2 linked regions of the Caenorhabditis elegans genome follow. The protein of the gene in region 1 interacts with the protein of each later gene in a pairwise test. Each region holds a gene or a part of one and is shown in the gene's direction. Other genes may lie near its edges.

The links.
Region 2: the proteins of grwd-1 (region 1) and nhr-133 interact in a two-hybrid assay, tested with the Caenorhabditis elegans proteins (one large-scale study listed by BioGRID).

The regions. Positions count from the first base shown.
Region 1 is NC_003281.10:5,151,444-5,155,369, forward strand, and holds the start of grwd-1 (Glutamate-rich WD repeat-containing protein 1), read left to right. Parts: upstream 1-2,020; 5' UTR 2,021-2,102; coding exon 2,103-2,225; intron 2,226-2,271; coding exon 2,272-2,365; intron 2,366-2,413; coding exon 2,414-2,571; intron 2,572-2,710; coding exon 2,711-3,161; intron 3,162-3,337; coding exon 3,338-3,873; 3' UTR 3,874-3,926. Other genes in the region: rbm-42 (RNA-binding protein 42), read right to left, coding at 598-1,173, 1,302-1,605, 1,656-1,684.
Region 2 is NC_003283.11:2,210,284-2,214,209, reverse strand, and holds nhr-133 (Nuclear hormone receptor family member nhr-133), read left to right. Parts: upstream 1-2,091; 5' UTR 2,092-2,136; coding exon 2,137-2,315; intron 2,316-2,377; coding exon 2,378-2,436; exon of another isoform or gene 2,437-2,440; intron 2,441-2,487; coding exon 2,488-2,687; intron 2,688-2,786; coding exon 2,787-3,008; intron 3,009-3,057; coding exon 3,058-3,248; intron 3,249-3,292; coding exon 3,293-3,662; 3' UTR 3,663-3,700; downstream 3,701-3,926. Other genes in the region: nhr-184 (Nuclear Hormone Receptor family), read left to right, coding at 1-36, 84-283, 398-619, 672-862, 908-1,277. UniProt on the Caenorhabditis elegans protein: Orphan nuclear receptor.

The DNA.
Region 1 (3,926 bases):
CCTATCTTAACTTCCAGCCAAAATCATTTAAATTTCAGGAAGAACATTTTTGAAACACAGACACGAAAATTCTCGTTTTGTGCGCTAAATATACAGTACTCCGTCTCGACAAGAATTTTTTGTTAGTTATTGTTAAAATTTATGCTTTACTGAAGTTTTTGATTAGTAGATATATTTTTATCAAACAACTTCAAAGAATCGTTAGAAATTGAACTACAACGAAATTTTTTAATTACAGTACTCTTTAAAGGCGCACAGCATTTCGAATTTAACAAAAATGTATCGTGTCGAGACCGGATACGGTATTGTTCCCTCAAAATTTGAAGTTTTCAAAAGATTTCAGCCTTTCTTAAATATGAATTGAAAAGAAAAAACTCAAAAATGTAATGTTCTAAAATGACAGTAGAGGTATATTTTGCACTGGACATGCAACAGTGCTCCTGATACTCAAATAACGATAAATATCTCAATTCAGACTTTTATATATTGAAAAGAAAAATGAATAAAAATACGATGACAGGAAAATAAGGGGTACAATGAAAGTATTGGGGTATAAATGAATAAATTACAGAAAAAAATGTAGAAAAACGAATCGATTTACAAAATTCCAAGTTCTTTCTTTTGCTTTCTCTTTTGCTTGATAACATCAATATTACGCTCCTTCCATGCCGATTTTCTCAATTTAATCGGTCGATTTCCAACATATTTTCCGTCCATTTCACGCATAGCTCTCACATAATCCTCCGAATCTCTGAATGAAACGAATCCATATCCTTTACTCTTATTTGTTCGTGATTCTCTGACAACTTTGGCTTTTTGGAAACTTGGGTATTTTCGAAAAGCCTTTGCAAGAAGTTCATCCGACACTTCATTTCCCAGATCTCCACAGAAAACTCGAAAATCATTTTCATCCCATTCGGCAAGAGATGGATCTTCCCAAACCTGACCACCACCGGATCTCACAAACTTCTTTTTCGCTTGTTGTTCCTTGATTTTCTTCTTAAATGGATCGGTTTGCTTTTTGAAATTCATCTTATCAATATCTGATTGAAGAGCTTGAGTTCGCAGAAGTTCTTGTGGAATTGCGTTTACTGCAGGTGTTTCATATAATGCTGGAGCACCTTCAATAGTTGCAGGAGCCGGAATTCCGAGTACTCGAGGAGGGAACATTATCTGTAAATTTAATATTCAATTGAGAGTAATATTCACATAACTTCAATTTTTAACTTTTCTCTCAAAAATTTATGGCTTTATTCATAAAATAAGGATATTTTTTAAGTCAACGGAAAATCAAAACTAACCGGTGCAGCTCTTAATTGTGGAGGCATGAAAATTGAAGGTGGAACTGGAGGCATTGTTGGAAGCCTCCCAAGTGCCGGGTTGATAAATGGAGAAACTGCAATTGTGGCAGCTATCGGAATAAACGGAGGCGCTGCCAAAAGTGATGGTTGAATAACTTGAGCACTAGAAGTAGCTGCTGATGACTCGGAAGTAGTTGGTCCTGCCGAAATTGTTGCATTATCGTAGCCAACATGCGTTTGAGAGCTTGCTGGCTCCTCCGAATTGCTACTCGCTTGTTCAAGTTCGGCTAACTCGCTTTCAAATCTAAAATAATATAATTTGTTTGATAATAAATATAGGAAGAATCAACTTACAAAGCCAGTTCATCATCCAAGTTGGCCATTGTTGAAGGGTGAGCGTTTCAGGCTGAAAATAAGTCTAAATATAGTCAGAAAGTACAGAAACTTTGCGACAGATAAATCAAAAAATATTAATATTTAATATTATTATCTTTAACACATAAATGAATACAAATAAAAGGAAAATAGCTTTTGTTTCGAAAAACATTAAAAAATTGATAAAAATATTAAGAGTACGCAAACACCGCATGAAATAAGCCAGAGACGACGCACTTTTGCGTACTCTAAAATTTTTTCTGTTTTCCTATTTATTTTTTTTATCCTCCCAATTTTCACGCTTTACTAGTAGTTTTGTGCTCATAATTGTTTTAAAATTTAAGAAAACACCCTCTGAAGTTCCAAATATTACCTCATCCGCTTTTTCTAACATTTCTTAAGAGATATATTCTGTATCTGCAGAAAATGTCCGGTGAAAATGACGTTGAAATGCATGATGAGGATCCAGTGGAGGATATAGACGAGTCTGAAGAGGAAGTTGATGAAACTGATGATGAAGACGAGGAAGTACCGGAGAATCAGAGACAAGTGAGCTAGAAATTTCGTACAATACTTCTAATTGTTAAAATTGCAGGCTTACATTCCAGGCCTCAGCCGGCCATTGAAAAAAGGAGAAGAATTGGATTTTGACCCTAGTGCTTACAAACTATTTCATAGTTTCAATTCTGGTGATTCAAACGAAATTGTTTCTAAAATATTTATATTTTATGATTTAGATTGGCCATGCTTGTCGTTTGACGTTGTTAAAGATGGTTTGGGCGAGAACAGAACACAATTCCCTGCCGAATGTTATATTGTCAGTGGAACTCAAGCCGATAAGCCAAGGGATAACGAAATCATTGTGATGGGATTGAAGAATCTTACAACGATGAGGGTTAGTCGGTTTCAAACTTTTTTATTATTTACCTGTTATGAAATTGAAATTCCGGCCAACGTTTAGTTTTAAGCTCAGTAACACAATTGTTAAACTAAAAAAAACAAGGATATCTCTACAATAAAAGTGAGTATTTCAGAAAGAAAAAGAAAACAAAGGCGACGACAGTGACACCTCTGAAGACGAATCCGAAGATGAAGATGCCGAAGAAGAGAAGAAAAGAGAACCAAAAATGCACGCTGTTTCGATTCCTCACTATGGTGGTATTAACCGAATTCGTTCCGATCGTCTTGGTGACAGTACTGTATGTGCTTGCTGGAGTGATCAAGGACGTGTCCAGGTGTGGAATATCACTGATGCATTGAATTATACTCATGGAATGAGCGGAGAGTCGAAGACTGAAGTGCAAAAGATCGATCGACCCTTGTTCACGAATAATGGATCTGGAAAAGAAGGATATGGACTTGCTTGGTCTTCATTAAAAACTGGAGACTTGGCTACTGGTGATATCATCAAAAAGATTTATTTGTGGCAAATGAAGGAAGGAGGACAATGGGCTGTTGGAGCTAATCCATTAACTGGACATAAAAGTAATTTATTTAATTTTGATCTGAAAATTCCAAAAATTGAAATGTGTCTCCTGAATGGCGTTTGAGTGGTTTTTTCTTGAATAGATTGGAAAAAAACAAAAATCTGAATTAAAAACTTGTCTTTGTCGCATAAAAATTTTTGAGCATTTTTCAGTACATATTCCAATATTTTTCAGAGAGTGTCGAAGATCTTGCATGGTCACCAACTGAAACTGGACTTCTTGCTTCATGTTCCGCGGATGGAAGTATCAAACTATGGGATACACGTTCTGCTCCAAAAGATGCCTGCGTCTGTACAGTGCAAAAAGCTCATGAATCCGATGTTAATGTTATTTCGTGGAATCGTCACGAAAACCTCATTGTTTCTGGTGGTGATGACGGAGAGCTGAAAATTTGGTCTTTGAAAACAATCCAATTCGGTCAACCAGTGGCACTCTTCAAGTATCACAATTCACCAATCACTTCAGTCGACTGGCATCCACATGAAACAACGACATTTATGGCTTCCGGTGAAGACGATCAGACAACAATTTGGGATATTGCAACTGAAGCAGATGGACAAACGAATATCGAAGGAGTTCCACCACAGCTGATGTTCGTCCATATGGGTCAGAATGAGGTCAAAGAAGTTCACTGGCATCAACAGATTCCTGGATTGGCTATCAACACTTCAATTGATGGATTTAATGTCTTCAAGACTATTAATATTTAAGATGTCTCCCTGTTATTGCTCCCTGTTTGTTTTTGTTGCTGTTTTTCTCATCT
Region 2 (3,926 bases), on another chromosome or scaffold:
TGAAAAAGTGCTACAAAGTCGGAATGGACGCAAGTAGTGGGTTAAAAAGAATTTTTAAAAAATTTTAATATCTAAATGTTCAGAATTTCAAAAGGACCGTGACCTTATTTCAAGCTCCAATGCATACCTTAAACGCACGAAAGTTTATGCTCCACAAAGTTTGGCAAACTTTCTCGGGCGGCCCGAATTCATAATAAGTTTCGAGCCCGAAAAGGCTTCTCCTTTCAAGACAGTGATAGATGTGACGGATTTGGTTCACAAAGCTGCAGAAATTTTCCAGGAGGTAAAGGTTATTTTTTGGCACAAGCCGACACTTCACGGGCCAATTGATGTTTTTTTCGCATCAAATTTTGCCGTCCTGTAATTTGTCGGTTGCTCGCTATTGTGCAATTTTAAGGACCTAGCCAACTCACCAATGCCCTACAAATACAGCAATAGCCTGGAAAAGCTCACATTGGAAATGGAAGACTTGCGGTTAAGAAGCTCAAATCATAAAGTAAAAATTGTGCGGAATATTGGGAAAGCTGAATCGCTTGTCTTTTTCGAGCAAATGTTCTTGGCGACCGCGAACTGGTACGCAAGACTTCCAGATTTTACAAGTCTGGATCTTCGTGTTAAGGTATGGTATTCGGTATTTAAATTTCGAGCCAACAAAGTCTGTAATTTTCCAGCTGGAAATACTAAAATCCACGTGGATGCTTTGGATTCGACTGAACAAGCTAGCTGAAACAGCACAAAATCAAAGAATTAAAGAAATGGGTGCAAACATTTTTATGTGCTCAGAAAACACTTGTCTGAATGTGCAGGATATCAATGTTGACTGGAGCTGGTGTACCAATTACGGTGCAGAGCAAATGCAAGCGTAAGTTTCAGGTTTTTTAAATTTTCTTAAGAGAAAATTTTACAGATTCCTAATGCCAAATATTGATAAGCATTGGAGACAGCCAGTGGAAGACCTCGTGAAGCTCAACCCAACAGATATGGAGCTCAACTTCATGCTCATTCAACTCTGCCTTAACGATGCTGGCAAGAAATTTCAAGGACGTGTCCTAGAGGCAACTGATAAGCTCTTGCAAATCAATGCAGATAATTTGCATAATTATTATACCAAAAAGTTGAACATGCCATCATACTCTGGACGATTGACAAAACTGATGAAAATCAACCAAATTGTCGAGGAAGATGTGAGGGAGAGAAAGGAAAAAGCGAAGATTGTCGAAGTTTTTGACCTGTTTTCAATTGTTTATTCGCATCCGGAAATGTTTGAGGGCACTTGATTAATAATTGACAATAAAATTTTTGTTAAACAACTTACTAATGAATGTATCCTTGATTTAAAAAAAATCGAATTTTGAATGAAAAATTAAATTTTTATTCAATCATCACTTTTAAAGGTGGAGTAGCGCCAGTGGGGGAAAGTGTTAAAAACTACTCCGATGGTGCCAAAGTGGCCGAATATCATAATAAAACCATTCAAAGATTTTTTTTTGAAAATTGTTTATTTGCTGTCAAAAAGTGACAATTACTCAGTCAAAAATTTTGGCAACTGGACAAAACTTTGACCGGAAATTATGAAAAATCTAAAATTTTTTCGAGTGTTTTATTATAATATTTGGTCATTTTGGATCATAATAAGTATATTTAGGCAAAATCACGACTGACGCTACTCCGCCTTTAAGATATCAAATTTTGTTATTTCTAGAACTGCTGTTTTCCATTGAGAAAACTAAAAAACTCTCACTGAACTTTGGAAGTTCGCTGCTATAATTTAGCATTTAAAATGTTTTTCTAACTTTTTCTTTCAAGTATTGTCAGGGATAAATTTAAAAAAAAACCACCCATGCGTTTTAAAATGACCAAAAAAAATTTTAAAACTTGCCCAACTTTTTTGAGATTTTTTGACTGAAAATTTTGAAAAACCTAACAGGTTTTGTGTTTTTATGGAATTTGTACTTATTGGACTATTATATAACGGCACTCTATTTTTATTTGTTGATCTTTTGATATTCCCTACACCCTAAAACCGCAGTCTATTTATTTTCCTTTCCTTCAACAGTCTGCGTCTCTCGGCACGTTTTATCGGTTCTACACTACCATTGATCATCGTTCTTTCACGTGTTTTATGTATAACTAAAAATGCCACCTGCCCTCTACCTTTCCGGGCCATGCGAGATCTGCGAGCAACCGGCTCACGGCAATCATTTCGGTGTGCTCAGTTGCCGAGCGTGTGCCGCATTTTTCCGAAGAGCCGCACTTCAAAATGCAAAATATCAGGATAGAGTTTGCAGAAAGGGAAATTGCATTGGAAATGATTTGTAAGTGTTTTTTTTGTGTAGAAGCTGAAAACTTGAAAAATTAAAATTGTAAAAAATTTCAGATATCGCTGTAAAATCTGTCGGTTGAAAAAGTGTTGTGAAGTTGGGATGAACTCGAGCAGTGGGTATTTTTTAAACGAATAGAATGAAATTAATTTCATGTCATTTACAGAATTTCAAAACGACCGGGACCTCATTTCGTCTTCCCTCCGTCCAACGAACTACACGAAAACCAGCGCACCTCAAAGTTTGGCAAATTTTCTCGGCCGGCCCGAATTCATTTTGTGCTGTGAGCCGGACAAAGCCAGCTCCACGAAACGTCTGGTGGATGTGACAAGTCTTGTCGATAAAGCTTGGGCGATTTTTCAAGAGGTAATGGAGATATATTTGCGCCTAAAATATGGTGTATTCCTGAAACTTACATCAGATTTCACGCAAAATTTTTAACTATTACTCATCAAGTCTTTCCAGGATGCTGCATATTCATGGAGTCCTAATCATTACCCTAACTCACTGGAAAAGCTAACCTTCGAGATGGAAGAAATCAAATTAAAAGAGTCGAGCAAAAAACTGGAGATTGCGACAACTATTGGACGAAATGAGGCGTTGCTATTTTTGGAGCAATCATTTTTGGGAGCTGCTCAATGGTTTGCCAGGCTTCCAGAATTTTCGATGCTAGACCCGCAAATTAAGGTAATGCTTTTTTATCAGATGCTCTACATATTTACTTGAATTTTTCTAGATAGATATTCTCAAAACTTCCTGGATGATTTGGGCTCGACTGGACAAGCTAGCAGCAACTGCGGATTTTCATAGACAAAAATTGCTGGGAAATGATGTATACATGTGGACAGACAATACTTGCATGAATCCTGGAAATGTTAAAATCGATATAAAATGGAGTTCGAACTATTCTGTGGAGCAGTTGAGAGGGTTATGGCGGCTTTGGATTTTTTAATTTTAAATTTAATTTTCAGATTTCTAGTCCCCGATATCGAAAAATACTGGCGACATGCTCTTTCGGACCTGGTAGAACTGGACCCCACAAACGTTGAGCTCAACTTCATGCTCATTCAGTTGTGCCTGAACAGTGCTGGGCAGAAATATCAGGGCCACGTGCTAGAAGCCACTGAGAAAATACTGCAAATTCAATCGGATAATATGCACGAGTATTATACCAAGAAGCTGAAGCTAGTCAACTATTCTGGAAGACTTGCGAGGCTGATGAAGATCAATAGAGCTATTGAAGCAGACGTGAGGGATCGGAAAGAGAAGAATCATATTGCTAAAGTGTTCGATTTGTTTTTTGTTGAGTACTCCCATCCGGAAATGTTTGAATTTTCTTGATACGGTTTTTTCAATAAAGTTTTCAATAATTTAAAGGATATCCCGATTCCTTTCTTACCCGAAAAGCGCGGATTGAAATTTTTATCTTCTAATTTCTCGAATGAGATTAAAAATAGAGATTAAACCTGAAAAGGCCTTCAAAAATCATGGAAATTGAAAGTGTCCTCCCGATTTTGCAAAATCCTCATTTTCCATGTTTCGGTCGCTGTAGATGTACGGATGATAGTTTAAAAAAAGAATTTGAGTCAGTGCTGAATAAATAAT